Linked DNA regions of Oryctolagus cuniculus. The protein of the gene in region 3 binds, or shares a complex with, the protein of the main gene of each other region. Links are inferred from orthologs where the notes say so. Each region holds a gene or a part of one and is shown on either strand. Other genes may lie near its edges.

Region 1 (4,215 bases), on a different chromosome or scaffold from region 3:
TGTTAAATAACATTTTATTAGCACTCCCATCCGCCAGTTCGCTGCCCAGATGCTCACAACTGCCCAGGCTGGGCTGCGTTGAAGTCAGAAGCCTGGAACCCCCATGTCCAGGTCTTCCGTGTGAGTGAAAGGGAGTCTGGTGCTTGAGCCATCCCCCGCTGTCTCTAGGGCACGTGTTAACAGGAGGCTGGAATTGGGAGTAGAGACCTGAGCCTCGGCACTCCAGTGTAGCAGCATCCAGATTCCCAGCTACTCTTTAGCATCAGATCTGGGGGCCTGGGTCGTTAGCCTCCCCACTCAGGCTCTTGCAGGACCTGGAAGCAGCTGGCTCTCGTAGGCACCTTCCATTACTTGGCAGGCCTCCCTCAGCGAGGACAGGCAGCTGTCGTGTGTCAGTCAGGTGTCGTTTTCTTGTCCCGTTTCTCGAGTGCCATGGCTTCCAGACATCTCACGAGTGCACTGAAGAGATCGGCAGTTGTGTGGTAACGCGGTTGAGCCATCCGCTAAACACGGGTCTTCAGCAGTGGGCAGGGCACTTCTCCCACGTGGACGTGGCACTTCTGTTAATTGAACTCAGGGTGACATCACTTTTCAGGGTGGGGTAGGGCGTTACACTGTGGCATGCTGGGTGCTTTCTCAGGTCCTTTCATCAGTGATGCTGACTTCTCTGTTCATATCTTATTTTTTTTTTAATTGATGCAGAACTTTCGTGCCGCTTCTATTTCCTCATATTGACCGGTAGCCTGTCAGAATATTCACAGTCTGTCCTGTCTGTACTGTGAACACTGTTTTCTGTTTCATACCGCAGATGCTCATTGCGTGTCCAAGTTCCAGTCGTAGACTCAGTGCTACCTGAGACCATTCTCTTGGTCGTCACTTTCATTTATTTTACGGTGAAGAAACTGAACCTTAGAGAGGTGGAGTACCTGTTCAAGGCCCAGATCTTTTTAAGATTTATTTATTTATTTGAAAGAGTTACACAGAGAGAGGAGAGAGAGAGAGAGAGGTCTTCCATCTGATGGTTCACTCCCCAATTGGCCGCAACAGCTGGAACTGTGCCAATCTGAAGCCAGGAGCCAGGAGCTTCTTCTGGGTCTCCCACGCGGGTTCAGGGGCCCAAGGACTTGAACCGGCACCCATGTGGGATGCTAGCACTGCAGGTGGCAGCTTTACCCGCTACGTCACAACACCAGCCCCCCAGAATTTTTTTTTTTTTTTTTTTAATTTGACAGGCAGAGTGGACAGTGAGAGAGACAGAGAGAAAGTTCTTCCTTCCGTTGGTTCACTCTCCAAATGGCTGCAGTGGGTGGAACTGCGCCAATCTGAATCCAGGAGCCGGGTGCTTCTTCCTGCTCTCCCACGTGGGTGCATGGGCCCAAAGTCTTGGGCCATCCTCTACTGCTCTCCCAGGCCACAGCAGAGAGCTGGACAGGAAGAGGAGCGACCGGGACAGAATCCGGCATCCCGACTGGGACTAGAACCTGGTGTGCCAGCGCCGCAGGCGGAGGATTAGCCTATTGAGCCGTGGCGCTGGCCCCCCAGATCGTTTTAACTGCCTTGTTGCCATGCAAAGGAATGAGCCAGGGCAGCTGTGAATAGAGCTGCTCCCCGTGGTTACAGCAGTGTGTTTGTGGAGTGTAGTCTGCAGACCTTCAGTATCTCAGAGGGGCAGCCTGTTATCAGGCCCTGCTGTTTGATGTCTTCACACCAGCGAGTTTCATTCAGGAGCTTGTTAGACGGAGCTCAGGCTGTGCTCCAAACATAGCGAGTCAGAATCTCACCTGGAGGCCTCGCTCATGTGTATGTCACGTGTGCAGTTCTGGCTCTGCATACTCCCTACCCAGTTGAATTATTTCAGTTTTATATCAACCTGAAATAATGCCACTTAACAAAATAGCTGGAAGAATAAAGAGAATTCCTGTGTATTCTTCACCCAGATGTTTTACATAGCCACAGTACGGTGGTCGGAATCAGAACATCATCATTCAGGTCCGACCAGTTGTCCCTCGGGGGCCCGTGTGCAGTGCAGTGTCCACGCTGGGCTCACGTGCTGCATTTTGCTGTCATGTCGTCTTAGTCTCCTGTAACCTGAGTTCCTCGCTCTTTATGTTGCTGATTTTTCACGGCCGTGACACAGAAGTGACACTGTATCCTGGGCATAGCCGGGGTCGCATCACGTGGCTGTGCCACCACTGCTGGTGCCACTTTTGATTGGTTGAGGTGGTGCCTTCCAGGTTTCTCCACGCAGTTACTATTTCTTCTTGTGTGTTCAGTATCTTATGGGGAAATACCTTGAGACTATGTAAATATCTTGTTAAATAAACTCTCGCCCACTAATTTTAGCATCCGTTTAAGAAACTTGTTGGATGGTTTTCTGATTCCACCATTCTACCCTTATTTACTAACTGGAACTACTGTAAGGAAGAACATTCCCCTTTACTCCATTCATTCATTTAACGTTTATCAGTATAGACTCCCAGGTTTTTTAATTCTGTGGATTAAAAGTGTGTTTTATTGCTCTATAATTATCCCAGGTTGGCCACTGAGAGCATGCTCAGGTAACAGTACTTTAGCCATGGCCTCATCGGTGTTGACCGTCTCCTTTCTTCCTGGCTCTCCATGACCTCCAGGCACGGCTTGCACTTGCCTGTCCCAGCCGTGGGCTCCGCCATTTCTCCAGTGTCATTGCTTCTGGGATCTGTGTCTGTGTGCTGTGCCTTTGGCACACACAGGCACCTGTGTTTCTGTATCTGTATATATTAAGAGCCACGAGTGCAAGTTTGAAGTAAAAACACAGGGTTTATTCTAACCTGCTCCCTTTCCTTATCTGTAACTCCTCTTCTGATAGCTACAAATTCGGCTCTCGTTAACCATGGTATACATGCTGAGAGTATATGTAAACTAACCTCAGAATTGCTAGGTCCCAGGAAAGTTTGAGGACAGTATCTGTGTGTAGTTCTTTTTGCCCGACTCACTTTTAAATAAAAAGTTATCTTTCGATCACTGTTGATGGAAAACCAATAAACAGCTGCCAGTTAAACACATAATTACCAAACATGTGCTAGAACAGCATGATTTGTCCCCAAATTCTGACTCAGCTTACTGTCACTGTGTTGTGTGGTCTTGGGCAAGTATTTAATCTTTCTAAACTTAAATTTTCTCGGTTTGGACAATTTTATGTAATATTGACTCTCGATGACTAGTGGAGAATCCTACGCTACCAAAAATACAGCTTATTTTTAAGTTACGTTACTAGAACTCATAGGCTACCCAGTCGTGTTGAGTAACTGAACTGTAAGTTGGTCTTGACTTAAACCATGTGGCTCATTAACGTATGAACTTAAACCAGGTACCCTCAGTGTTTACACATGCTGGAACTGCTTCAGTACGAACACTTCCGAAAGGAGCTCGTGAACGCGCAGTGTGCGAAGTTCATTGACGAGCAGCAGATTCTGCACTGGCAGCACTATTCCCGGAAGCGGATGCGCCTTCAGCAAGCCTTGGCAGAGCAGCAACAGCAAAATAATACGTCAGGAAAATGAGAAGCTGGAAGCGGACCGGGCTCTGAAGACATGTATATAATGTATGTTTGTACAGTGAGAACAGACTTTCCTGCCTCCCTTCATTGTGGACGCAACTAGACCCTTCAGTGTGCTTTCTAACCCAACTAACTTTTTATTGTAACAGAGTATTTCTGTTAAACCAGATTGTTCTACACTGGTTTCCTGTGTATGTTTTTAAGAGCATTTGATACAATCAGCTGAATACAGACGGGAGAATTAGGTGCTTTAGAACAGCTTAAGGAGGTAGTGGGGCATGGAGCGGGGTAGGGCCAAATGTCCTGACTGCTCAGGACACAGAGTGGTACCTTGGCGGGTCCATCTGCTGGAACCTGTCTGTCTCAAGGAGAGGACTGGGATCGGGGACCTCCTTAAATAACGGAGCGGGGAATGCACGAAGATTCTTGGGTCCTGCAGCAGAGCAGATACTGTACCAGTACCTGCTTTGTAAGACAGCTTTAAGAATCAGTGGTCTATCAGTGACCCAGAATGGGCAGGGAGAAGTTTGGTTAACCAGAGTGGACTCTTGACCTTAAACAACAGCAGCGACAAGGAACAGGAACCACTCATACTTGTGCTGCTTTGGGAAAGTGAACAGTTACTTGGCAGGTACCGCAAGTTGGGCACTGTGTGAAGTGCTTCCCTGTGTTCTCAT
Region 2 (4,138 bases), on a different chromosome or scaffold from region 3:
GCATAGTAACTTAATGAATGTGTCCCAAGAAGAAATAAAAGAACTTAATGATGCTAAATATAAACTGTACTTTAATATTGCACACTGAGTATATATTTCTTCTGTCGTAAGTTATATTCTAACTGGTGACATTTGATCCTTGATATCAAGCTTTTAGCTGAAAATTAATTCTTAAGACCCATCACTACATATTTATTGTAATCATGACTCTAGTGAAAAAAGACACCTGAACAATTCTTGGAAGAAAAAAAAAATTCATGTTAACTCTTCACACACACCCCTCTGGAAAAGTCAAATAATTATCACAAAGAACTGTCAGGCTTGTGCCAGGCTATCTTCAAAGAATCTGATCCTAAAAGTTCCAAAAACAGACTGAGTTGGGAGAGGACAGAAATGTAAAACCCGATGTTTGCCTTACTGTATCTGAAGAGATGCTGATCAACATATTTTAGAAGGGGGAAGTGCATTAAAGACCTCAACTGAACATCATGAAAAAAAAAATGTGACAAAAGAAATTCAATACTTCTTTAAAGATGCAAAGCATGAGGTGCCAAAAAATGAAACTGCTGAAACATGACTGGCTGGCAGTTAACACTTGCCAGCTACTTGTGCTCCGCCCACTTAAAATCACTTACCTATCATATACCCTTTTTTTTTTTAAGATTTATTTATTTGTTTGAAAGGCAGAGCTACAGAAAGGCAAAGGCAGAGGCAGAGGCAGAGGCAGAGAGAGGTCTTCCATCCTCTGGTTCACTTCCCAGATGGCCGCAATGGCCAGAGCTAGGCTGATCCCAAGCCAGGAGCCAGGAGCCTCTTCCGGGTCTCCCACGTGGGTGCAGGGGTCCAAGGACTTGGGCCATCTTCCGCTGCCTTCCCAGGCCACAGCAGAGAGCTGGATCAGAAGTGCAGCAGCCGGGACTCCAACAGGGCCCATATGGGATGCCGGCACAGCAGGCGGTGGCTTTACCCACTACGCCACGGACCCGACCCCCTATCATATATTCTTATTATTTCACATACTACAGGGGAAAATGAGAAAGGAAAGTCACCCAAACTTCGAGTCACTGATGGAGCTCAGCTACTGTCCAACTCAGGACGCTATTATTACGTCCAGCAGTTGGTACTTTTCTAAGTCTTCACCGCTGGGTGTTAGCAGACCTGGGCCAATCGACACAACTGTCATCTCGACACCCAGATTGCCCAGACTTTTTAATAAAACAAGGAGCAGGCTGTTCCAAACCGTCTTAAACAGCAAGCAAAGCAGACAAATATAGAAGCATTTAGTGCAAAAACCACAGCACCTCCTCCATCAGACCTTCCACTCTCAAGAAAAACATAATGTTCTAATAAAAGCAAGATGGCTAGAAATTGTCAAAATGGCAAACTGTTTTCAAAGTTTAGAAAGAAGACATATGAAACAGCATCTACTAGTTTTTGACACAAAGATCTGAAGTCAGCCAAGGAAGAAAAGTAACCCTGAGTTAGTCTGACTCAGGCAAACGAAATGAAAAACGAAGAAAAGAGCCTTTCCCTGCTCCGGGTCTAGGGTCCCGTATACCAGGGGAAACCAAATGACCCGGGGAAGGCCGAAAGGCAGGGGAAGCAGGAGCACTCACGGAAAGTCTGAAAAAGGGACACAGAGTCACCAGGGAGAAAAGCAACAGTTAAGCAAGAAACACAGAGGGAAATGTTCGCGTCCGACCAGATAAGGTGCCCAAGTTGAAGACAAGACTTCCGTGGAAAAAGAGAGAGAGACACGGAGTCCGAAACAGGACAAGGGAGAAGAGCCCACACTCCCAGGACGGAGCCCGGGACAGCCGGGGAGCGGACGCCGTCCCCGGCGCCGGCTGCGGAGCTCCGCAGGGCACCGGCTCCGGCTGGGCCTAGCCCGGGCACTCGGGCATCGGGATCCGACCCGGCCCCCTCCCCCATGGCCCAAGGGCGCCCCCCGGCCCCCTCCCCCCGCCGCCCGCGGCCCCGGCACTCACCAGGCAGAAGAGGTTACAGTGACAATCTTCCAGGCTGGCCCCGTTCTGCACGGAGGAGGAACTCATCGTCCCTCACAGCAGCCGCCGCCGGCGCCACAACCCACCATCCGCCATTACCGCCGCCTCCGACCAGAGAGAGAAACACAGACACCGGGGAGGGCGGGGGGGTGGTGGTTGGGGGGGCGGTGGAAGAGGAGGCCGCCGGGCCGCCCGCCCTCCCCACCCACCCCCCCTGCCGCCGCCGCCGCCGCCGCCGCCGCCGCGAGCAGCCCCCGCCGCCCGGCCGGCACCCAGCCGCCCGGGGCCGAGGGCCGGAGGCGGGAGGGCCGCGCCGCGCTCGCCCGGCGGGCCGGACTGCGGAGCCCGCGGACGCTCGTCCCTCTCCGGGGGGACAGAGGCGATGTGTGCTCCTTCCACAAGAAAAACAATAAATTACACAATAAATAATCAAAATCGAGTCCGAGACCGCAGAGCCCAAGCTCCGGAGGGTTCTCCCGGGCGCGGAGGAGCCCCGAGAGGGGCGGGAAGGGCGAGAACCGGGAGAGGAGCCCAGGCCCCCGGCCCGGCAGCGGCGATGTCCTTAAAGCCCAGAGTCTCCTCAGTGGCGGAGGTGGTGGCGGTGTCTCCGGGCTCAGACCATTCTCTGGCTGTGTCTTCGTGTCGTCCCTGGGCCCCGCCGGCCTAACGTCTGCTCTCCTGCGGCCTCACCGCCTGGACGCCTTAGTCTCCCCCATTTTGTGGGCCCAGCGGGCGGTGTTTTTCCCCCTTTAATCCGAATTCACGGGTTTTCCCTTCGCTTTAATGGCGGCCACAGGGACCAGCTCGCCCTCTCTGCTCGCCCATTGGCCGCCTGGAGGTCACGTGGGCCGGGCTCCGTGGGGAGGGGGAGAGAGAAGGGAGTGAGGGAGGGCCGGGAAGCTTTCGGCTGAGGCGGTGAGCCCAGGGGACTGGGCAGCCGGCGGGTGGCTACTGAAATAGCGCCATCTGCTGGGTGCCCTGGCCGTGTAAGGTGACCCGGGGCCCACGCACTCTCTTTGCCCTGGCGGGGGAACTCTTCACAAGTCTCTCAGAATGACGTGGAAATCAGTTTGAATTCTTTGGAAGAGGAAGAGTTGCCCAAAATTCCAAGGCATTCTCATTTATTCCACGAGGCTGCCCGGGCACAGCGCAAACCCCCGGACTTGGGAGTCAGGGGACAAGGATTCAGCGGCTAAAAATTGTGATAGGAAGAGAGAGACATAAACGAAACAATGCAGCCGTGTGCGGGAGAGCCTGCGCTCGAAGCCGCGGGAGTCCCTTAGCCTCTGTGTCTCGGTCTCCTCATCCGTAAAAGGGGGAGAGACTGCCCCTTGGCACAGAGGCTTGGTGTGCCGAGTTAGCACAAATGAAGCACCCAGCCCCGCCCCGGGCGCAGACCCGCGGGCTAAGAGTTATCTGTGACCTGGGGCGGTTGCCGCGAGGAGCCAGGGAGCCAGGCACCTGCGCGTCCCCCACCCCACCCCCCCTCCGCCCCAGAACCTCCACTCGGTTTGCTTACCGCTGTCAAGCGCCGAAAGAAGTTCCTAGCACACAGTAGGTGCTTGCTTGGTATATGTAAATTCACAAATGCATGAGTGGCTACAAGAACCAGAGAAAATGTTAGCTCCCTTCCCTATAAAACACTTAGTTTTTGGCTGGATTACACCTCAAAGGAAGCGTTCAAAACATTTTCCTTGAGAGGGTTACACCAAAGGAAGAAGGAAAAGGGGCTCCCCTGTTTGGCTCAGGATTAAGCCCGCTACATCCTACATCTGGGTGCTTATATCGAGTCCCCACTTCCGATTCCAGCTTCCTGCTAATGTGCACCCTGGGAGGCAGCTGTGATGTAAAGTACGGGGGTCCACACTGCGCAAGTGGCAGATGGAAGAGCTCTGTCTCTGTGTCACTCTGCCTTTCAAATAAAACTTTGAGAAGAAGAATGAGGGAAAAGATGATTGAGAAGTTAGAAGCATCAATGAGTTAGAACATCGTAATTTCCTCTGTAAAATCAATGGTGGACACTTGCAGTCACGTCTTCAGCCACGGAAGGAGAAGCGTTCCTCAGCCATCCGTGTCTCCTTCTGTGGTCAGGTAAGAGCCCATAGCTTGAAGCCGAAACCACGTACAAAAAA
Region 3 (3,500 bases):
GGCCATGTTCATGTTCCAGGTAGGGAGGAGGGCGTGCTGTGCGGGCCGCTGGATTGAACCTGATCTTAACACTCAGTCAGGATAGAACGGCATCTCCCTGCCGCCTTGCTCCACTTGTGGTGCTCTTCCTCCTTGCCCTTACTTTATCCGCCTCATCTCTCACAGTCCCTGGGCTGAATTAATCCTCTTCCCGCACCTCTGATTCCCATAGGATGGCATGTTGGACAGACATGAGTTCCTGACCTGGGTGCTTGAGTGTTTTGAAAAAATTCGCCCCGGAGAGGATGAATTGCTTAAACTGCTGCTGCCCCTGCTGCTTCGAGTAAGGCCTAGGGTTTGGGGGTGGGTGGGAGTGGGGTGTCTAGGCAGCATTTGAGGAAGAATGAAAGCTGGGAGCAGTGTCCCTTGGCAAGAACTAGGGGCTCCGATGGTCATGTCTTCACAGTACTCCGGGGAATTCGTTCAGTCTGCATACCTCTCCCGCCGCCTTGCCTACTTCTGTACCCGGAGACTTGCCCTGCAGCTGGATGGCGTGAGCAGCCACTCATCTCACGTTATAGCCGCGCAGTCCACAAGCACACTGCCTACCACCCCTGCTCCCCAGCCCCCAACGAGCAGCACACCCTCAACTCCCTTTAGTGACCTGCTGCTGTGCCCTCAGCACCGGCCCCTGGTTTTTGGCCTCAGCTGTATCCTACAGGTAGGTACGAGGTAGGGCCACAGAAGTGTTAAGAGCATGCCTGGAAAGAGCGGGTGCCCATCCCAGAGAACGGGAGTGATTCCAGATTGGAAGTGAAAGTAGGCGCTGAGGACTTGCTCGGAGATTGTTGCTTCTCAGTGAGAGGGTGTTGTTTTCCCTCTGGGGACTTTGGCAACCTCTTCATTCCTGGGCTCAATAATAGGTTCAAAGGCTTTTAGGAAAGTAGATGAAGGGAAGGGATCGAGGATAGAGTGATACTTGCCTTGGGGACTCAGAATAACTTTGGATCCAGAACCTAAGGGTTGGGTCTTCTAATGGGATTCCAGAGAGAGAGCCGTGGTAACTGAGTTTGGCTTTGCTGTTTCTGTCTCACAGACCATCCTCCTGTGTTGCCCTAGTGCCCTGGTTTGGCACTACTCGCTGACTGATAGCCGAATTAAGACTGGCTCACCACTTGACCACCTGCCTATTGCCCCCTCCAACCTACCCATGCCGGAGGGCAACAGTGCCTTCACCCAGCAGGCAAGTCCGGCTCCCAGCCTGCGACTCCCACGCTGGGATGGGAGGCTCAATTACTCTTTCAGACATTGTGATTTGGAGCCTGTTCTCTTATTGTTCTCTTAACCTCGGCCGTGGCCCTTGGCCAGCCCTGATACAGCCTTGAAGCCTGCCTTTTTGATATCACAGGTCCGTGCGAAGTTGCGAGAGATCGAGCAGCAGATCAAGGAGCGGGGACAGGCGGTTGAGGTCCGCTGGTCTTTTGATAAATGCCAGGAAGCCACTGCAGGTGCGTGGCCGAGGACGGAAATGACGTTTAAGAGAAAGATGGTATGGTTGGGACTGAGAGTCCGAACGCACTGGGCCTCTAAGTACAGTCCCTTTGGCTGCTTTTCCTCCTCAGGTTTCACAATCGGACGGGTGCTGCATACCTTGGAAGTGCTCGACAGCCATAGTTTTGAGCGCTCTGACTTCAGTAATTCCCTTGACTCCCTTTGCAACCGAATCTTCGGACTGGGGCCTAGCAAAGATGGGCATGAGGTATGCAAGTAGAGGCCCAGAAAGAGCAAATAATAATAACAATAATAATAATAATAATAATGCCATTGCAAGAGCAGTGGCATGTGGGAGGGGAAGGCATGGCGAGGCATTGAATCCGGGGGATGTCTGCAGAGCAAGAGGTCTCAAGATGGGGCCCAGTGTTTAAGAAATCGGAACTTAGCTCTCTATCCCCAACCTTTACCGTCCTCCTCCCCATCTTCCTTCGGGTCTTCAGATCTCCTCAGATGATGATGCCGTGGTATCTTTGCTATGTGAATGGGCTGTCAGCTGTAAGCGTTCTGGCCGGCATCGTGCTATGGTGGTAGCCAAGCTCCTGGAGAAGAGACAGGCGGAGATTGAGGCCGAGGTGAGAGGGCAGAGATGAGAGGCTGACATTGGCCAGTAGGAAGGACTCGACCTGAGGTTGGAGACAGATCGAGGTGGTGGTGGGGCCCCAGGTGATGGATGGTGCGAGAACAGAGTGGAGATGAGAGAGAGAGAGGGAAAATCAAGGGCCTTCGTGGGTGGTGGTAAAAGAAGCTGAGGTCACGCGGCGGGGGATGGAAGGGAGAAGCCTGGGGTGGAGGCGAAACAGGTGGCAGTTCAAGGGTTACACGTCGAGGAGTAAAGACACGGGGGAAAGAAAGTCAGTCCTACAACTTGTCGTCTCATCTCACAGCGGTGCGGAGAATCGGAAGCAGCAGATGAGAAGGGCTCCATCGCCTCTGGCTCCCTTTCGGCCCCGAGTGCTCCCATTTTCCAGGATGTCCTCCTGCAGTTTCTGGATACACAGGCTCCCATGCTGAGTAGGAACCCCCTGCTACCTTTTAGTTAACTCTGCCTAGGTCCAGTTGCCCACCACTGTCATCATAAAGATGAACTGAGGGCCTCTTGAACTCCATGCACGATGACTTTTAGACAGAGTTCTAGTCCCTGCTCATCTCAGAGTTCCCACGAGGAGAGAAATGCAGAAAAGAACACGTGATTGAAGCTTTTTCATTCTACACATAGCAGTGAAGAAGCTAGATTCCTTTCTGAGATGGTGTGTGGGCCAGTACATTGGGCTAACCAACCACACTTTGCCCCTCAAGAGTTTCTGCCATTTTTTTTTTTTTTTGGCCATTCCTGTATTCCCTTAGCATGTCCCTCTCTGGGGGTACGCTGGGAGCACCGTGCTTGAGGTGTGCCTCTCTCTTTCTCTGCCCACTTCCCCTGTGCCTTCCTAACCCATCTTTCTTCCTTCCCTCCCCACAGCGGACCCGCGCAGTGAGAGTGAGCGGGTGGAGTTCTTCAACCTGGTACTACTGTTCTGTGAACTGATCCGCCATGATGTCTTCTCGCACAACATGTACACCTGCACTCTCATCTCCCGAGGGGACCTTGCCTTTGGAGCCCCCGGTCCCCGGCCTCCCTCCCCTTTCGATGATCCTGCCGATGACCCAGAGCGCAAGGAGGCCGAAGGCAGCAGCAGCAGCAAGCTGGAGGTGAGTGGGCTTTTCCTGGCTCTCAGTGGTTTCAAGGCTCCCCAAGGCCTCTGAGAGTCCCTTTGGCCTAGTAAGGGTAGTATTTTCTTAGCACTTTGCGGTTTACAAAGCACTCACATCATTTGTTTTTTCATTCCATCCTTCCACCATCCCTGTAAGGTATTGGGCTTTTTAAAATGTTTATTTGCTTATTTTCATTAAGTTGAAATGCAAAGTGACAGAGAAGGAAGCGGGGTGGGGATGGGAAGAGATATCTTCCATCTATTGGTTCACTCCCA
Region 4 (2,515 bases), on a different chromosome or scaffold from region 3:
TCAGGTTGTGAAACAGTGACTGCCCCTCAGGACTACAGCAGCCTCTTCCCCTTGGACGACACGCAGCCGTCGAAGCTGATGCGACTGCTGAGCTCCAATGAGGATGACGCCAATATCCTTTCGAGCCCCAGTGAGTAGAGGGGCTGCCTTTGCCAGCCCCCCCCCCCCCCCGGCCCCGAGAGCCGCGCATGCACAGACGCAGCCACAGGCTCCGCTGGCTGGTTCTTCCCTGGTCCCTCCCTTTCACCACAGGGTTGGGGGGTGACAAACCACGCAGGTATGGCCACAGCTGCCTCAGTACAGTCTGTGCCATTGACTCATCAGCTCTGTGCTTCCTTCCTTCCCCCAAAACACACCCTGTGGTCTGGAGCAGGCCCAGCTGGGACTGGGGCTGCTCCCCACTCTTCCTGCCCGCGGAGCACCGGCCCAGCCTGGCTTCCACGCCCCCTTCCCCTAAGGCCTCTTCGGTGCCATTTCTCTTTCCTGAGAATAGAAATTTCTCTGAGGCTTTTTGGGGACTTCGGGGTCCAAGTGCACGTGTGAGAGGAGGAGAGATACTGGGCCTGCCACCTACAAGCCCCGTGACCGCGGCTTGTTGCTTAGCGAGGCTGAGCCCCCATGTCCTCACCTGCAGATGGGGTGTGAGAATTGAGAGCTGAGTCCTGGTGCAGCCCGGAGGCTGGGCCCCGGCCCTGGCGGTCCTCCTCATGGGGATGTCCGCATTCAGAGCTCCTCTGGACTCTGGTCTGAGGGTCTTCTCTGGGCTCTGCAGGGATCAGCTGATCCCCGAGTTGGGGGGGGCTGCCACTGGCAGAGCCACCAGTGAGTGCAGTGGCCGTCTCCTCAGCGTCCCTGCGCTCCTCCCCACAGCTGACCGCTCCATGAGCAGCTCCCTCTCGGCCTCCCAGCTCCACACGGTCAACATGAGGGACCCTCTGAACCGAGTCCTGGGTGAGTCCCCCGCTGCTGCTCCTGAACCTCTCCCTAAGGGAGGCAGGGGCCACGTCCGCTGGAAGAGGCCTCGCCTCCCCCACTGCACCTGCTTCCCCCTCGCCAGTGCTCCCGTGTCTCCCCGTTTTCCTCTATTTCCCCTGGACATTCCTGCCTGCGGGTCTCGGCGCCCCCTTCTACTCCCCTGCCTTCCCCTGGACTCTGATCTCTGCCTCCTCTTGCTCTCCCGTCCTGCACAGCCAACCTGTTCCTGCTCATCTCCTCCATCCTGGGGTCGCGCACCGCCGGCCCCCACACGCAGTTCGTGCAGTGGTTCATGGAGGAGTGCGTGGACTGCCTGGAGCAGGGCAGCCGAGGCAGCATCCTGCAGTTCATGCCTTTCACCACCGTGAGTGCCCTTCACCCCGGGCCACCGCCAGGCGGCCCAGGCGTCGCTGCACCCGCACCGGGGTGGGGCCTCCTTCCTCCTGGGACCCTGCACCACCTGAGGAACCTGGTGAGCCTCTGTTGTTCTGTCTGTGGCAGGTCTCGGAGCTGGTGAAGGTGTCAGCCATGTCCAGCCCCAAGGTGGTTCTGGCCATCACGGACCTCAGCCTGCCTCTGGGCCGCCAGGTGGCCGCCAAAGCCATTGCTGCCCTCTGAGGGCTTGGAGTGGCTGCAGGAATGGCTGGGAGGGTCCCAGCCTCAGGCACCTCAGGAGGGAAGAGTGAGGAGAGATGAAACGGCGTTGCTCTGGTGTGAGAGCCCTTGGTTGGTCTCCAGAACTTTTCCCCCCTTCCTGACTTCTAAACAGTTCCTACTTTTTTGTAATTTCTTCTCCCCTCTGCCTGTATCTAAAGAGAAGGAGCAGCCTGGATCCTTAGCCCAGGGCAGGGCCCCTGTGCAGCCTTCCCCCTTGCAGATTGGCCCCCAGGACTTCATGGACGCAAAGGGTGTGTGTGTATGTGTGAGAGAGAGAGGGAGAGAGAGAGTGCATGTGCATGTGTGTACGGGCCGTGTATTTTTGTAATGTGAGGGGAAGCCCACCTCAGCTCATTTGTAAATAAAGATCCTCACGGATCACATTGTGAGTGTCCGCACCATGGGTGTCTGCGTCTGCGCCCCGTGTCCCTTGCACTGGAGCTGGGGGAGGGGGGAGGAGGAAGAGGCTCAGGAAGTAGGGCTTAGGTTCCCGTGTGTGTTCACTGGGTAGGGGAGGGGGGCAGTGAGAGCAGCTTCCTGGGCTCAGACCCAAGTGGGGTGACAGCACTGGCCTGCGGCCCACCTGGTGAGCCGTACCCTGAAGCGGGAGGGGTTCTGGCATGCTGGGGCAGCATGTCCTGTTCTGTGGCTCCCCACCCGGTCTGTCCGGCCTGCAGTTTGAGCTGTCGCTTCCACAGGACAGGGCGAGGGACAGCAACGCTCTTGAACCCTTCCTTGCCTCTCCACACGCTCGGAGCCCCTGTGGGAGAGCCCTCAGCCAGGCAGTTGGGGTCTGGCCTTGCTGTCTAAGGCACTGCGGGGAGGAGAATGGGTGACAGGAGCTGAGGATAGGGAGGGCGCCCAAGACAGTGGGCTGGGTGGT
Region 5 (3,961 bases), on a different chromosome or scaffold from region 3:
GATGAAGATCTCATGGTAAGAGAGTAAAAGGGGAAACTTGGGAAATTACATTCTTAGGTGAAAGCCTAGGGCACGGTTGTCGATTGGTTATTCTAGAAGTTCTGAATGTGGGGTAGTTCATGGCAGTAAGAAGCAGGGCTATATTTTGGAGGCCTTGCCTTTTGTCTTAGAGTAGGGAAGCAGCTTCCAAATAGTGCTGTAATAACCTAAGATCTGTGTTACCAAGGCAAAGATCTTTTCTGGGGCTGGCACTGTGGCCTGGCAGGTTAAGCCACTGCCTGCAATGCTAGTGTCCCTTATGGGCTCCATTTCGATTCCCAGCTGCTCAACTTCTTTTTTATTTTTATTTTTTTTTTAAAGATTTTAATTATTTGAGAGGCAGAGAGAGAGAGAGAGAGAGAGGTTTTCCATCTGCAGGTTCACTCCCCAAATGGCTGCAACCACTGGAGCTCTGCCAGTCCAAATCCAGGAGCCAGGAGCGTCTTCCGGGTCTCCCATGGGGGTGCCGGGGCCCAAGAATTTTGAACCATCTTCTACTGCTTTCCTAGGCCATAGCAGAGAGCTGGATTGGAAGTGGAGCAGCTGGGACTTGTACCAGCACCCATATGGGGTGCTGGCATTGCAGGCAGCAGCTTCACCCGTATACCACGGTGCTGGCCCCATGCTCCACTTCTGATCCAGCTCCCTGCTAATGTGCCTGGGAAAGCAGTAGAAGATGGTCCCTATCAAGTGCTTGGGCCCTTGCACCCACGTGGGAGACTCAGAAGAAGCTCCTGGCTCTTGGCTTCAGCCTGGCCCAGCCCTGGCCATTGGTGGCCATTTGGGGAGTGAAACAGCAGTTGGAAGATGTCTCTCTCGATCTGTAAATCACTCTTTCTTTCCTTCCTCCCTCCCTCCCTCCCTCCCTTCCTTTCACCAGCAGATGGAAGATCTCTATCTGTAACCTACTCTTTCTTCCCTCATTCCTTCCTTCCTTTTTAAGGTTTATTTTATTTATTTGAAAGAGTTACAGAGAGAGGTAGAGACAGAGAGAGACAGGCAGGTCTTCCATTCACCAGTTCACTCCCCAAATGGCCACAATGGCCAGAGCTGGGCCAATCTGAAGCCAGGAGCCAGGAGCTTCTTCCGGGTCTCTCACACGAGTGCAGGGGTCCAAGGTCTTGGATCATCCTCCACTGTCTTCCCAAGTGCATCAGTAGAGAGCTGGATCAGAAGTAGAGCAGCCAGGAATCAAACTGGTGCCCATATGGGATGCTGGCACTGCAGGCTAGGGCTTTAACCCACTGTGCCACATTACCAGCCCCTATAACTCTGACTTTCAAATGAATAAATAAATCTTAAAAAAAGAAAAATGTCTTTTCTCTCCAACATCTTTCTCAAGCAAAAAAATCTTTCTTTTTGTGACTTTGTTTGTTCTGGATTTAATTAAAATATGACAGAAAGAGTTATATTTATCACTAGGCTGGTAGAGATAGGGATGTGAGAAAACGGAAATGAAACGTGGAGTAAAGGGGACAGTGTCCTAGGAAGCTAGATATTGTGTCTCAGGTTGTATTTTCTTGAATATTCAGTGTTTGTCTGTGGAAGGGAAATCGGGGTAGGGTGAATCTTCCTGGAGTATGTAGTAGGATCAGTAAAATCTGTGTTACAGAGGCAGACTGAAGGACGGGTGCCTGTCTTCAGCCATGAGGTGGTCCCTGACCATCTAAGAACCAAGCCTGACCCTGAGGTTGAAGAGCAGGAGAAGCAGCTTACGACAGATGCTGCCCGCATTGGTGCTGATGCAGCACAGGTTGGACCAAGTCACTGCCCCACAGCCCCTGATCCCCATCCCATCAGGAGAAGCTAGGCATTACCATTCCTGCCTGATAGGAAAACACAGTTGGTTGTACCTAAGTTGCCTGTGGAAGAGCCCAAGAAAGAAATTTTTCCATAATCATTTCTTGTTTACCCTAATCTGCACCAATATGTGTATGTGTGTGTGTTACAGAAGCAGATCCAGAGCTTGAATAAAATGTGCTCAAACCTTCTGGAGAAAATTAGCAAAGAGGAGCGAGAATCAGAGAGTGGAGGTAAGAAGAATTGGTGGCAACATAGAGGGAGAGTGGTGTCAGATCACTGGGATAGGAATGGTGGTTTGGGTAGTGGTGGAGTGAGGACTTGGGGATGAACTGCTTAGGAAAGAGTTTGTGTCCATTCTGTTGGCCTTTTACATTTAAGGCCAGCCCTGGTGCAATGGGAAGAAGTGGACAAAGGGAGAAGGGAGAATTCTGATACAGGCCTGGGGATCCTCTGGCTCTTCCTCTGGGCTGGGAAAGAGTCAAGATGCTGCTAAAGCAAGAACTCCAACTCTGGTGCTCATCACTGGTCTTGCAGCTCCTAGGTGCAGTCCAGGGCCAGAGGCCTACTTCAGGGTCCACACTTACTTTTTCTTCAGGTCTCCGGCCAAACAAGCAGACATTTAACCCTGCAGACACCAATGCTCTGGTGGCAGCTGTTGCCTTTGGGAAGGGGCTGTCTAATTGGAGACCTTCAGGCAGCAGTGGTCCTGGCCAGCCGGGTCAGCCAGGAGCTGGGGCCATCCTTGCAGGAGCCTCGGGACTACAGCAGGTGCAGATGGCAGGAGCTCCAGGCCAGCAGCAGCCAATGCTCAGTGGGGTGCAGATGGCTCAAGCAGGTCAACCAGGTAAGGTGACGGGGCTTAGAATTCAGCTGACTTTAAGCAGGAGCGTGGAGATAAATGGGGTTGTATGGGTTCCCCGCATCCCCAGGCTTGGAGATTTCCTCCTTGGCACCGTGACTCAGAAAACAGTTTTTAGAAGTAAAACATGTCATCTGGAGTCGATGAGCAGGAGACTGCTGAGATGCGTTCTGACCCCTCCCACTAGTGTCCCCTGTCACCTCTTTCCTACAAACGCCTTTAGGGAGGGAGCTGGGTGAAAAACCACACCTCTGGTCTGTGCCAACCAGAGTCAGGTGCCACAGAGGTTCTGAGATGATAAAGGAGGTGGCAGAAGGGAACCTGAGAGACCACATTTCTGATTTGTTGTGAAAGTCTTCCCTTGCTTCAGAGGTCTTTCTTCGTGTTCCTTTTAGGGAAAATGCCAAGTGGAATAAAAACCAACATCAAGTCAGCTTCAATGCATCCCTACCAGCGGTGAGTGTGGCCAGCAGCCTCCACTCCCAGGTGCTCTTTGCGGAGTTGGGCAGTGAAATTACCTTTTGCTCAAGGCTTACCTAAATGGATACAATAAAAACATGGGCTTTCAGCAATAGACAGATTGCAGCACCACCGCTGACTGCTTGGACTCTGGGCAAGTGACCTAATTTTTCTGAACCTGTGTTATCATTTGTAAATGGTAATCATACCTACCTCATAGGGTTGTTGTGAGGATCAAAATGAGAGGATGAATGTGAAACCACGAAATAATAGGTATTCAATAAATAAGTTTCTACAGTCACTTTTCTGCACTGCCCTCTGTGAGCCTTGATCCAGAAATTACTCTGATCTCATACTGCTTCAAGTCAAGGGTGAACTAATGGGCACAAGATTAAATAAGCCTGTGCTTATTTTGTGCTGCCAGAAACTGTGGCCGCCTTGTGTCCTTGGGGGCGTGCTGTCCCTGCAGCGCCTCCTGCGCAGGTTCTATCTAAGCTGCGGGTGAAGAGGTCCCTGGCCTGTGGCAGGCCACCCACCTGCAGCTCTGGTGAAGCTTAGGCCTGCTCCACTCTCCGTCCTCTACAAAGCCTGGGAAATAGGTAAAAGTCGCCTCCCCTTTACCCCACCCTCTACACCTGAAGGAAGGTGTGGGGATTTCTCGGAACATGGCTCTACCAGGCAGGACCACGTGGGAGAGTTTTCCTTAGCACTTGGCAAAGGAACTTCTTCCTTTGGTCTCATTTTTCTTATTTTGGAGGAAGAGGGGAACTGTACTTCATGCTGTCTTTCGTTAGGGTTTGG
Region 6 (4,033 bases), on a different chromosome or scaffold from region 3:
TTTTTTTTTTTTTTTAATAAGCGGTCTCAAAACTACTGAGGAAGCACCGCAGGCGGCCTGGCACGTATTTTATTTTATTTTTCTCCAATTCCTTTTCAGGTTTTATTCAATTTTGCATCCCACATCCGGGTGCAGCACAGTACTTAGCACACAGTGTGCTCAATGAAGAGATGGCTGACAGAACGAGCAAGTCCCAATGGCCGGAAAAGTCGCTGTAAAGGCCCAGGCACTCCAGTCGTGTGACCCCGGGCGCGTCGGCTGCCCACGCGCAGGCCGGTTTCTTCAAGCAGGAAACCGGACTACGACCACTACCCGCCTCGTCGCCCCCCGCCCCAGGCTCCTCGGGAGGCTTTGCACAATGAGCAGTACTGCAGAACGCCACACAGGTGCCGAGTTTGGGCACGGCTGTCTACTGGCAGGAACAGCGAGGCGTCAGGAAGCCCGGACTGGGGCTGTCGTGCAGGGGCTACCAGGCACCGCCTCCGTTTTCCCATCGTAAACACTTCGTTTAGATGCGATGACAGTCTGCGCCCTACACCCTTCAGCAGTCTGCAAGCCCGCTAGAGGCTGGGAACCTCAAGTGTCCTTAGGAAGGTGAAACTCGGGACTCCACATGCACCCGCAGGGGCAGGGACAGTCAAGGTCGCGGGGTTCTGAGCCCTAGAGCGCTCACCCAGTCAAAGTCACACGGGTTGCCGTCTTCGCGTTGGGTGGGGAGTCCATGGCAGAGCGGTGGCAATTTCCTCACGAGCAGGAAGGCAGCAGAGAGCAGGGCAGACAGAAGGTAGTAAGGCCTGGCCAGCCATCGTGAAAGTCGCGGCACCGAATACACCAGAGCAATCAAAGGCGCTAAGACCGCCATGTTTCCAGGTCCTGCGGCGCCCGCCGCTCACCGGCGTCCGTAAATCTGGGCCCGCCTCCCACCCCATTGAGCGTTCTATTGGCCCAACTACCAGAAGAACCGCCTCTAGACCCGGAAGTAGATTTCTCATTGGATGCCGCCGTAATTCCGAGTTGAAAAGTGGAGTTGACCGGTTTACTGGCCAATCTAGTTGTCGCTTTTTCTACCAAGGTCATTTTATTGGATATGTGTTTATGGCCCGCGGAAGTGACCCAGAAGAATTCAATCAGGTTAGATAGCACTTCCTGAACGTTTTCAGAAAGCGACGGAAGTTGTTGCCAGAAAAAGGTAGGTGGAGCCACAGATATCCAATGATAAGCTTTCTTTACAGGAAGAGGGCGGTACCCCGTGAAAGGATTGTCCAATGATAGTCATCAACGCCAGACACTGAGGCAGCGCCGGTGCGGAGGGGACGATGGAGAATTTCACGGCGCTGTTCGGGGCTCAAGCTGACCCACCACCTCCCCCAGCCGCACTAGGCTTCGGACCAGGAAAGCCTCCACCCCCGCCCCCGCCGCCGCCGGGCGGGGGACCCGGCACAGCGCCGCCTCCCACGGCGGCCACCGCTCCTCCCGGCACAGACAAGTCAGTGGCTGGTTGTGGCCCCTTCTATCTAATGCGGGAACTGCCTGGTGAGTACTAGGCCTGGCCGAAGCTAACCAGTCCAATGCTGAAGAGGTGAGGGCGTGGCTGTTGGCCGGCTGCTGGAGGTGCAGAGGCTGCACGGACCCGGGCCGTGGAGCTGGAACTTGCAAGAGCTGCGAAGATTCGCAGCCACAGGGATGATTGGGTTCGTGGGATGGATTGGGAGGAGGTGGGTGTGTGTCTCTGGGTCTGGGCTGTGCCCCTGACACTGGCTTCTCCAGGGTCATGGAGATCGGAACTCAAATGATATGCCTAGGGAACCGAGGTTTTTTAGTTTCAGTCCGCCTCAGGCTGGCTGTTGGTTTGGGGGTAAGTTTCTTCATCTATTCAAAGACGGGATTAGAAGGACACGAAATTATTTCATATCAAATTTATGTGGTTTGTTCTGCATGCTGGAGCTACAGCTGTGAACCAGACTGGCAAGATCTTTGTCCTTTTTGCCATTGGAGACAGCGTAAGCAAGATAGCATCAGATAGTGATTAATGCTGGATGAAAACGTGATCAAGAGTTGAGGTGGAGGCAGGCGTTGTGGTGCGGTAGGTTAAGCCACGGCTTGGAACGCCCGCATCCCATATTGGATTGAGTCCTAACCCTGTGTACACCCTGGATGGCAGCGGACGATGGCACGTCCCTGGATTCCTACCGCTGTCAGGGGAGACCTGTGTGGAGCTCCAGACTCAGTCGCGGCTGTTGCAGGCATCTGCGGAGTGGGCCAGCAGATGCAAGATTTCATCCTGTGCCTTTCAAATAAAATAATTTTTAAAATGTGGAAAAACTGAATTAAAAGATGTTCACTTTTAGAAAATGGACATAACTGTTGCTAGATGATCAGAGTTAACAGAGAGGAGAGGCAGAGAGAGAGAGAGAGGTCTTCCATCCTCTGGGTCACTCCCCAGATGGCCACAACAGCTGGGGCTGGGCTGATCCGAAGCCAGGAGCCAGGAGCTTCTTCCGGGTCTCCCACATGGGTACAAGAGCCCGAGGCCGTGGGCCATCTTCTGCTGCTTTCCCAGGCCACAGCAGAGAACTGGATCAGAAGAGGAGCAGCTGAGACTCAAACTGGTGCCCATTTGGGATGCCGGCACTGCCGGTTGCGGCTTTACCTGCTATGCCACAGTGCCGGACCCTAGTGCTTTTTCTTAAACTATAGTTTTCCTTTTATTTGAAATGCAGAGAGACAACCACCAGCAGTTTCTTTAAGCTTTTTTCACTTACTCTGATTGTGCTTGTTTCTGTCAGCCCGTTGGCAGATACTTGGTATCTGTTCTTGGTAAATGCTCTATGTGCAGGAACAATGATGTGTTGAAAGGGGGAAAGAGATGTCAGGTCTGGGCCTTACTTCCTAATTTTTACTTTATTTGAAAGCCAGGGAGAGACGCAGAGAGACATTCCATCTGCTGGTTCACTCCCCAAATGCCCCCAACAGCCAGGGCTGGGCCAGGCCAAAGCCAGGAGTTGGGAACTTGATCCAGGTCTCCTTTGTGGCTGGCAGGAATCGAGTCCTTGCCGTCATCTGCTGCCTGGCAGCCTGCATCCTAGCTGGAGGTTGGAGCAGAAGCAAAGGAGCCGGCACGGAACCCAGCCACTCTAGTATGGGATACGGGCATCCCAAGCAGTGTCGTGACGACTGCTGCAAATGCCCACCCTTGGTCCTTGGTTTATAAGAAGACTATTTTAGTTAGTTAGGGAAGCACAGTATGTGGTTTGTGGATAAACAAGTGACTGTTTCTCATCGATACCAGTCTCATTACTTTGCAGTCATGCCTTAAATACTGCACAGCTAACAGTATCTTAGTGAACAGCATTAACTCCTTGATGGTTTTCAAAATGTGGTGTATCCATGATGACAGCAAGAAATTAGATGTCACTTGAGCTGGACTGTGAAGAATTCACATTGGTTGGGGAAAAAAAAAAAAAAACAACAGATTTTTCCTAAAAGGAAACAATATAAGAGGGAATGCCTATTTTTTTTTCTCATAAGTGTGGAGACTCATTTGAATGGATCAGAAATTTTACCAAAAAGAAAGAAATTTTACCTTTGGGGAAGTAGTGGCTGATGAAGCCCAGAGCTAAGTTGGATGCAGTCAGATGTGAATAACCCTGGATGCCTGAGGAACGGGTGCTTTCTCCCGAGAGTAACAGGAAACCTGAAGGTTTTTGAACTCAGAAGTCCTGCTTTCTAAAACATCTCAAGAATGGCGGTGCCATGATTGAAATGAAGAAGCCATAAGTGACATGGGCAAGAATTTGAATTAAAAAAAATTGAATCTGCATGAAATTTACTGCAAAGAAGGTTCATTCAGGAGAGGAGTCAGAGCTGGGGAGAAAGATTTATAAATTAACTACAAAGCAATAGTCAAAAACAGGAAGTTAGAGTTTAGAAAAAGCACAGTACCTTCTCCCTGACCTTCAGCAAAACCACCTGGGAGGAAGATAACTGGCAGAGAGGAGGGAACATCAGAAAGCAGTAGCAAGCAGCAGTGCCA
Region 7 (3,983 bases), on a different chromosome or scaffold from region 3:
AATGACGATAAGAGGAAAAAAACAATAAAAGTGTAATCCTATTTTCAAGGGAATGTTATAATTACCTTTGTGGCAGTAAAGAAACAAGTTGCCAGGTTATTTTTTTTTTTTTTTATCAAATTTATACTGCTGTGCCTACTCAGTTGAATTGCAGTTATTTGCTGAGATGGCTCTGGATATGTGAATGCTATTTTTTAAATGTGGAAAAAATCTGAGACTACAGTCAGTAGAAATTCATTGCTTAAGCAGAAGATGGCCCAAGTCCTTGGGCCCCTGCACCCGTGGAGGGGGGGGGAGGGCAGCAGGGGGACTTGGAAGAAGCTTCAGGTTCCTGCTTTGGATTGGCTAGGTCCAGCAGTTGTGGACATTTGGGGAGTGAACCAGCAGATGGGAGACCTCTCTCTCTGCTTCTGTAACTCTACCTTTCAAATAAATAAATCTTAAAAATAAAAAAGAAATTCATTGCTTAATATTCTTGCAGAAAACTAGGTAAGATCCTACTTTCCAGCCGCATTTTTGAAGGATGTATATGAGAAAATTCTTTTTAAAAGTAGCCTTTAAGCTCCAGTGGCCATGCACTTGCCAGCATTGCTATGGATTTCTCTTCATGAGGATTTATTGACACAAGAGAGAAGACTACACACTGTGATCTGCAGTGGAGATACAAGCTAAACTGCATGTTTCCACCAAGACACAGTGATAACATGCACTTGCTGCTGAGAACAAGTTTATTTTAATCCAAAGCACTTCAGATTTTCAAAACTGCTGCAACTGCTCAAGAAATATTCCTGAAACTTAAAAAATATTAGAAAATGGTAATTAAGTGTCCTAGGCAGCCTTCAAATGTCGTGTTACAAAGAGCCAGTGTTTTTATGACAGTTTTACTGCATCTAGCATATAAGGGAAACTCTACTGTATTTGATAAAACATTTCAGATACCAGTATTCTTTGAAAATCTAGCCTGTAAAAAAAAAGGGGTTCTGTGGGTTTAGTTTCCAAACTAACGGCTAAAATGAAAATGCAAGTTTTCGTACAACAACCGAACTCTACCTGCTCGCAAGTTCAGAACGAAGTACCCAAGAGCTAAGAGACAGCCGGATTTGGAAGAAATCTCGCGGAAGTACGTCATTCACCTCTCGCGAGACTTCAGTATCCCGTCGCTTCCTTTCTCGCGCAGGATCACGGTTTATCTCGCGAGCTTTAGGAAGTTCCGTTGGGGAAGATGGCGGCGGCCGCAGGCACCCTTCTCTTCTTGCCACCGGGGACTTCAGACTGAGCCTTCCCGGGAAGAGTAGGGACTGTTGGTGCCCTGCGTCCCGGGAGCCCGAACTAACGTGGCTCTCCCATTAGTGGAAGGAACGGGCTTCTCCTCTTGTGGCGGACCCAGGCCCTGCCCGTCGTCAGGATGAAGGCTCAGGGGGAAACCGAGGGTGAGTGACAGTGGGGGAAAGGAGGGGGCGGGACTCAACTGGGGGCAGCCAATCTGGGCGAGGAGGTGGGGGCCGATGCCCCGTGGGGGCCGCTTTCGCGGGGGCACTGAGTCCAGGATGCGGGATGTGTGTGTCTTAGATGCTCATCATGCCTTCCTTGATGGTGATAGAGCGCTGACTTAGGGTGGTGGGGGCTCCCAACTTGGGTGAAGATTTCCTTTTTATATAGAGACAGTACCTGGGGCTTCTGGGCACTTTTAGCCTAAAGTGGTGGAAGATCAGGCGAGTGAATATATTAGCTGTTTGCAACTCATTCCGGAAGAGACCATTGAATAATGGCCTAAAAACAGCCATACGGAACCGTGTATCTAAAAGTACTGGAGAGTATTTTGATGTGAATGATGTGATTTGGTCCTGAGGATACAAAATGCCTGCACTTCCTAAAAGTCACAGTGTTCCCATCGGTGGCCGGACTGATTTAGAACTGTTGAAAACGACTTTTTCTATGGAAATTTTTACTCCGATTCTCTGGAGTTCCACACTGCACTTTCAATCACAGCTTACTTTATTATCATTGTTCATCCTTCCAGTTTGTTCTGAGCTTTGTAGATCAGGGGGCTGCCCTATTCATTTTTTTTTTTTTTAAAGATGTATTTATTTGAAAGGCAGAGTTACAGAGAGAGAAAAATCTTCTACCTGCTGGTTCACTCCCCAAATGACCGCAATAGTTGGAGCTGGGCTAGGCCGAAGCCAGGAGCCTCCCCAGCGTCTCCCATATGCGTGCAGGGGGCCACTCTCTGAGGCCATCCTCCGCAGCTGTCCCAGGTGCACCATCAGGGAGCTGGATTGGAAGCGGAGCAGCTGGGCCTTGAACCTTTGCCCATATGAGTTGTCAGCATCCCAGGTGGTGACTTCACCCGCGATACTACAACACCGGCTCCCTTATTCATCTCTGTATAATCTCTGGCACATAGTAGTTGCTCAGAAAATGTTTGATTTGAGTTTCAGACTAAGGACGTTTTACAGAATGCTTCTCAAGAAAAAAAAGGGGTGTGATTTGAAGGAGAAGAAATGTGTGTCCCTTGGGTGTAAAGTGGAAACACCATCAGGCAGGAGTTTTGTATGGTTTGCTTACTACTGTGTCTGCAGCACATACAATTGTGCTTGAATGAATGGCTTGATAGTGGGAAATAGGAATGTGCCCAGAGCAATCAGCTGGCTGAAGCAGCCTACAAACCAGTTTTCCAGAAGATGAAGGCGTGAAGGAAGGAGTCTGAGTCTTGACTGAGATCATCTTGCTGCCTTAACTCTGACCTTCTATTTATTTTTCAGTGCCAGTGTCAACAGTCTGTTTTTTTTTTTTAATGTCTCCATATTGATTATGTACTTTTCCTTCTTTGCTATTCAGTAGTAATGTCTCTGCTTTTAAGAGCATTTCTTTTTGCACCAATGGTAATTCCCATGTTAACTTGATCACACTGCCTCACAGATGTCACCTCAGGCATATCTTGTTATTATTATTATTATTATTATTATTATTTTTAACAGGCAGAGTGGACAGAGAGAGAGAGGTCTTCCTTTTGCCGTTGGCTCACCCTGCAATGGCCGCCGCAGCTGGCACGCTGCGGCCGGCGCATTGCGCTGATCCGAAGCCAGGAGCCAGGTGCTTTACCTGGTCTCCCATGCGGGTGTAGGGCTCAAGGACTTGGGCCATCCTCCAATGCACTCCCGGGCCACAGCAGAGAGCTGGCCTGGAAGAGGGGCAACCGGGACAGAATCCGGCGCCCCAACCGGGACTAGAACCCGGTGTGCTGGCGCCGCAAGGCGGAGGATTAGCCTATTGAGCCATGGCGCCGGCCCTCCTCAGGCATATCTTGTGTTCCTTTCCAGTGGCCCCAGCACAGGTCTTCGCTCATACATGGCAGTTCAAGAACTAGGGGAGGCTCGAAGGGTTTAAGAGGTTCATTCATATTCTTAGTTCAGGAGCTGATCCTTTCTGCCTTTCTCTTAACCTCTGTTGGAAATTCATCTTTTGGTTATTGATTTCTTCCCTGTCCATATAATTTTAGCTATATGGAAAAATATGAAACATCAGATAGGCAATTAGGGTCTGTTTTCTTGATCATACTTATCAACCAATCTCTTAAAATTATGGCCAAAAATTAAGGAAGTATTTTCACATTGAAAATCAGCTAACCATTGTAAGACCATGTTCAAATGTATGCTCTCTATAAATATTATACAGAAATTTCAGGCATGTTATGAAAATGACTGTCACTAAGTTGTAGGCATGGTCGTGAATCATGATTAGACTCGGTTCCTTTTTGGGTTCCCATTAAAACCTTGAATGGAATGTCCTATGGTGTTCCTTTTATCAGACCCATAAGGTATGTGTCTTCTCACCTTTAAAAATATTTTCTTTATGTGGTTTGAAGAAATTATATCGAAAAGTAGTTTAGCCAATTCTTAGATTCGGCTGTGTGGGGGTTTCTTTTCCAAGAAAAACGAGGTCTTGATAAAGGAGTTTCTAATGATGTTTTCTGATTTATGTCG

What was found.
Region 1: MED12 (region 3) and MED31 share a complex: the UniProt entries of both Homo sapiens proteins name them as parts of the mediator complex. The link is inferred for Oryctolagus cuniculus from reciprocal best matches to the Homo sapiens genes MED12 and MED31.
Region 2: the proteins of MED12 (region 3) and MED13 are in contact, whole or in part, in a cryo-EM structure (PDB 8TQC), measured with the Homo sapiens proteins. The link is inferred for Oryctolagus cuniculus from reciprocal best matches to the Homo sapiens genes MED12 and MED13. Residues at the interface, in NP_005111.2 of Homo sapiens: Ala3, Phe4, Arg12, Pro13, Arg16, Leu86, Thr123, Thr127, Thr150, Pro152, Val153, Met154, Arg155, Phe242, Pro278, Leu281, Arg282, Arg356, Pro357, Phe360, Gly361, Cys364, Gln367, Thr368, Cys372, Pro407, Glu408, Phe413, Val417, Lys1526; in NP_005112.2 of Homo sapiens: Ser157, Glu158, Thr336, Val337, Pro339, Gln340, Ser341, Gln343, Lys344, Trp345, Lys347, Phe348, Asp1186, Ile1189, Leu1190, Gln1193, Asp1194, Pro1332, Ile1333, Thr1335, Leu1337, Tyr1340, Asp1341, Tyr1342, Asp1343, Tyr1344, Leu1345, Val1346, Leu1347, Ser1348.
Region 4: MED12 (region 3) and MED24 share a complex: the UniProt entries of both Homo sapiens proteins name them as parts of the mediator complex. The link is inferred for Oryctolagus cuniculus from reciprocal best matches to the Homo sapiens genes MED12 and MED24.
Region 5: MED12 (region 3) and MED8 share a complex: the UniProt entries of both Homo sapiens proteins name them as parts of the mediator complex. The link is inferred for Oryctolagus cuniculus from reciprocal best matches to the Homo sapiens genes MED12 and MED8.
Region 6: MED12 (region 3) and MED19 share a complex: the UniProt entries of both Homo sapiens proteins name them as parts of the mediator complex. The link is inferred for Oryctolagus cuniculus from reciprocal best matches to the Homo sapiens genes MED12 and MED19.
Region 7: MED12 (region 3) and MED1 share a complex: the UniProt entries of both Homo sapiens proteins name them as parts of the mediator complex. The link is inferred for Oryctolagus cuniculus from reciprocal best matches to the Homo sapiens genes MED12 and MED1.

What each region holds. Positions count from the first base shown.
Region 1 is NC_091448.1:49,930,968-49,935,182, forward strand, and holds the end of MED31 (mediator of RNA polymerase II transcription subunit 31), read left to right. Parts: intron 1-3,349; coding exon 3,350-3,542; 3' UTR 3,543-3,715; downstream 3,716-4,215. UniProt on the Homo sapiens protein: Component of the Mediator complex, a coactivator involved in the regulated transcription of nearly all RNA polymerase II-dependent genes.
Region 2 is NC_091448.1:35,408,779-35,412,916, reverse strand, and holds the start of MED13 (mediator of RNA polymerase II transcription subunit 13), read right to left. Parts: upstream 2,801-4,138; 5' UTR 2,055-2,800; coding exon 1,989-2,054; intron 1-1,988. UniProt on the Homo sapiens protein: Component of the Mediator complex, a coactivator involved in the regulated transcription of nearly all RNA polymerase II-dependent genes.
Region 3 is NC_091453.1:50,928,015-50,931,514, forward strand, and holds part of MED12 (mediator of RNA polymerase II transcription subunit 12), read left to right. Parts: coding exon 1-19; intron 20-211; coding exon 212-322; intron 323-445; coding exon 446-700; intron 701-1,075; coding exon 1,076-1,222; intron 1,223-1,387; coding exon 1,388-1,487; intron 1,488-1,601; coding exon 1,602-1,738; intron 1,739-1,973; coding exon 1,974-2,105; intron 2,106-2,417; coding exon 2,418-2,544; intron 2,545-2,992; coding exon 2,993-3,222; intron 3,223-3,500. UniProt on the Homo sapiens protein: Component of the Mediator complex, a coactivator involved in the regulated transcription of nearly all RNA polymerase II-dependent genes.
Region 4 is NC_091448.1:22,404,805-22,407,319, forward strand, and holds the end of MED24 (mediator of RNA polymerase II transcription subunit 24), read left to right. Parts: intron 1-30; coding exon 31-130; intron 131-870; coding exon 871-951; intron 952-1,190; coding exon 1,191-1,339; intron 1,340-1,476; coding exon 1,477-1,593; 3' UTR 1,594-2,015; downstream 2,016-2,515. UniProt on the Homo sapiens protein: Component of the Mediator complex, a coactivator involved in the regulated transcription of nearly all RNA polymerase II-dependent genes.
Region 5 is NC_091438.1:129,638,949-129,642,909, forward strand, and holds the end of MED8 (mediator of RNA polymerase II transcription subunit 8), read left to right. Parts: coding exon 1-15; intron 16-1,651; coding exon 1,652-1,792; intron 1,793-1,990; coding exon 1,991-2,072; intron 2,073-2,437; coding exon 2,438-2,686; intron 2,687-3,096; coding exon 3,097-3,161; 3' UTR 3,162-3,461; downstream 3,462-3,961. UniProt on the Homo sapiens protein: Component of the Mediator complex, a coactivator involved in the regulated transcription of nearly all RNA polymerase II-dependent genes.
Region 6 is NC_091432.1:14,441,313-14,445,345, forward strand, and holds the start of MED19 (mediator of RNA polymerase II transcription subunit 19), read left to right. Parts: upstream 1-1,233; 5' UTR 1,234-1,316; coding exon 1,317-1,533; intron 1,534-4,033. Other genes in the region: TMX2 (thioredoxin-related transmembrane protein 2), read right to left, coding at 674-862. UniProt on the Homo sapiens protein: Component of the Mediator complex, a coactivator involved in the regulated transcription of nearly all RNA polymerase II-dependent genes.
Region 7 is NC_091448.1:22,906,050-22,910,032, forward strand, and holds the start of MED1 (mediator of RNA polymerase II transcription subunit 1), read left to right. Parts: upstream 1-1,183; 5' UTR 1,184-1,405; coding exon 1,406-1,430; intron 1,431-3,983. UniProt on the Homo sapiens protein: Component of the Mediator complex, a coactivator involved in the regulated transcription of nearly all RNA polymerase II-dependent genes.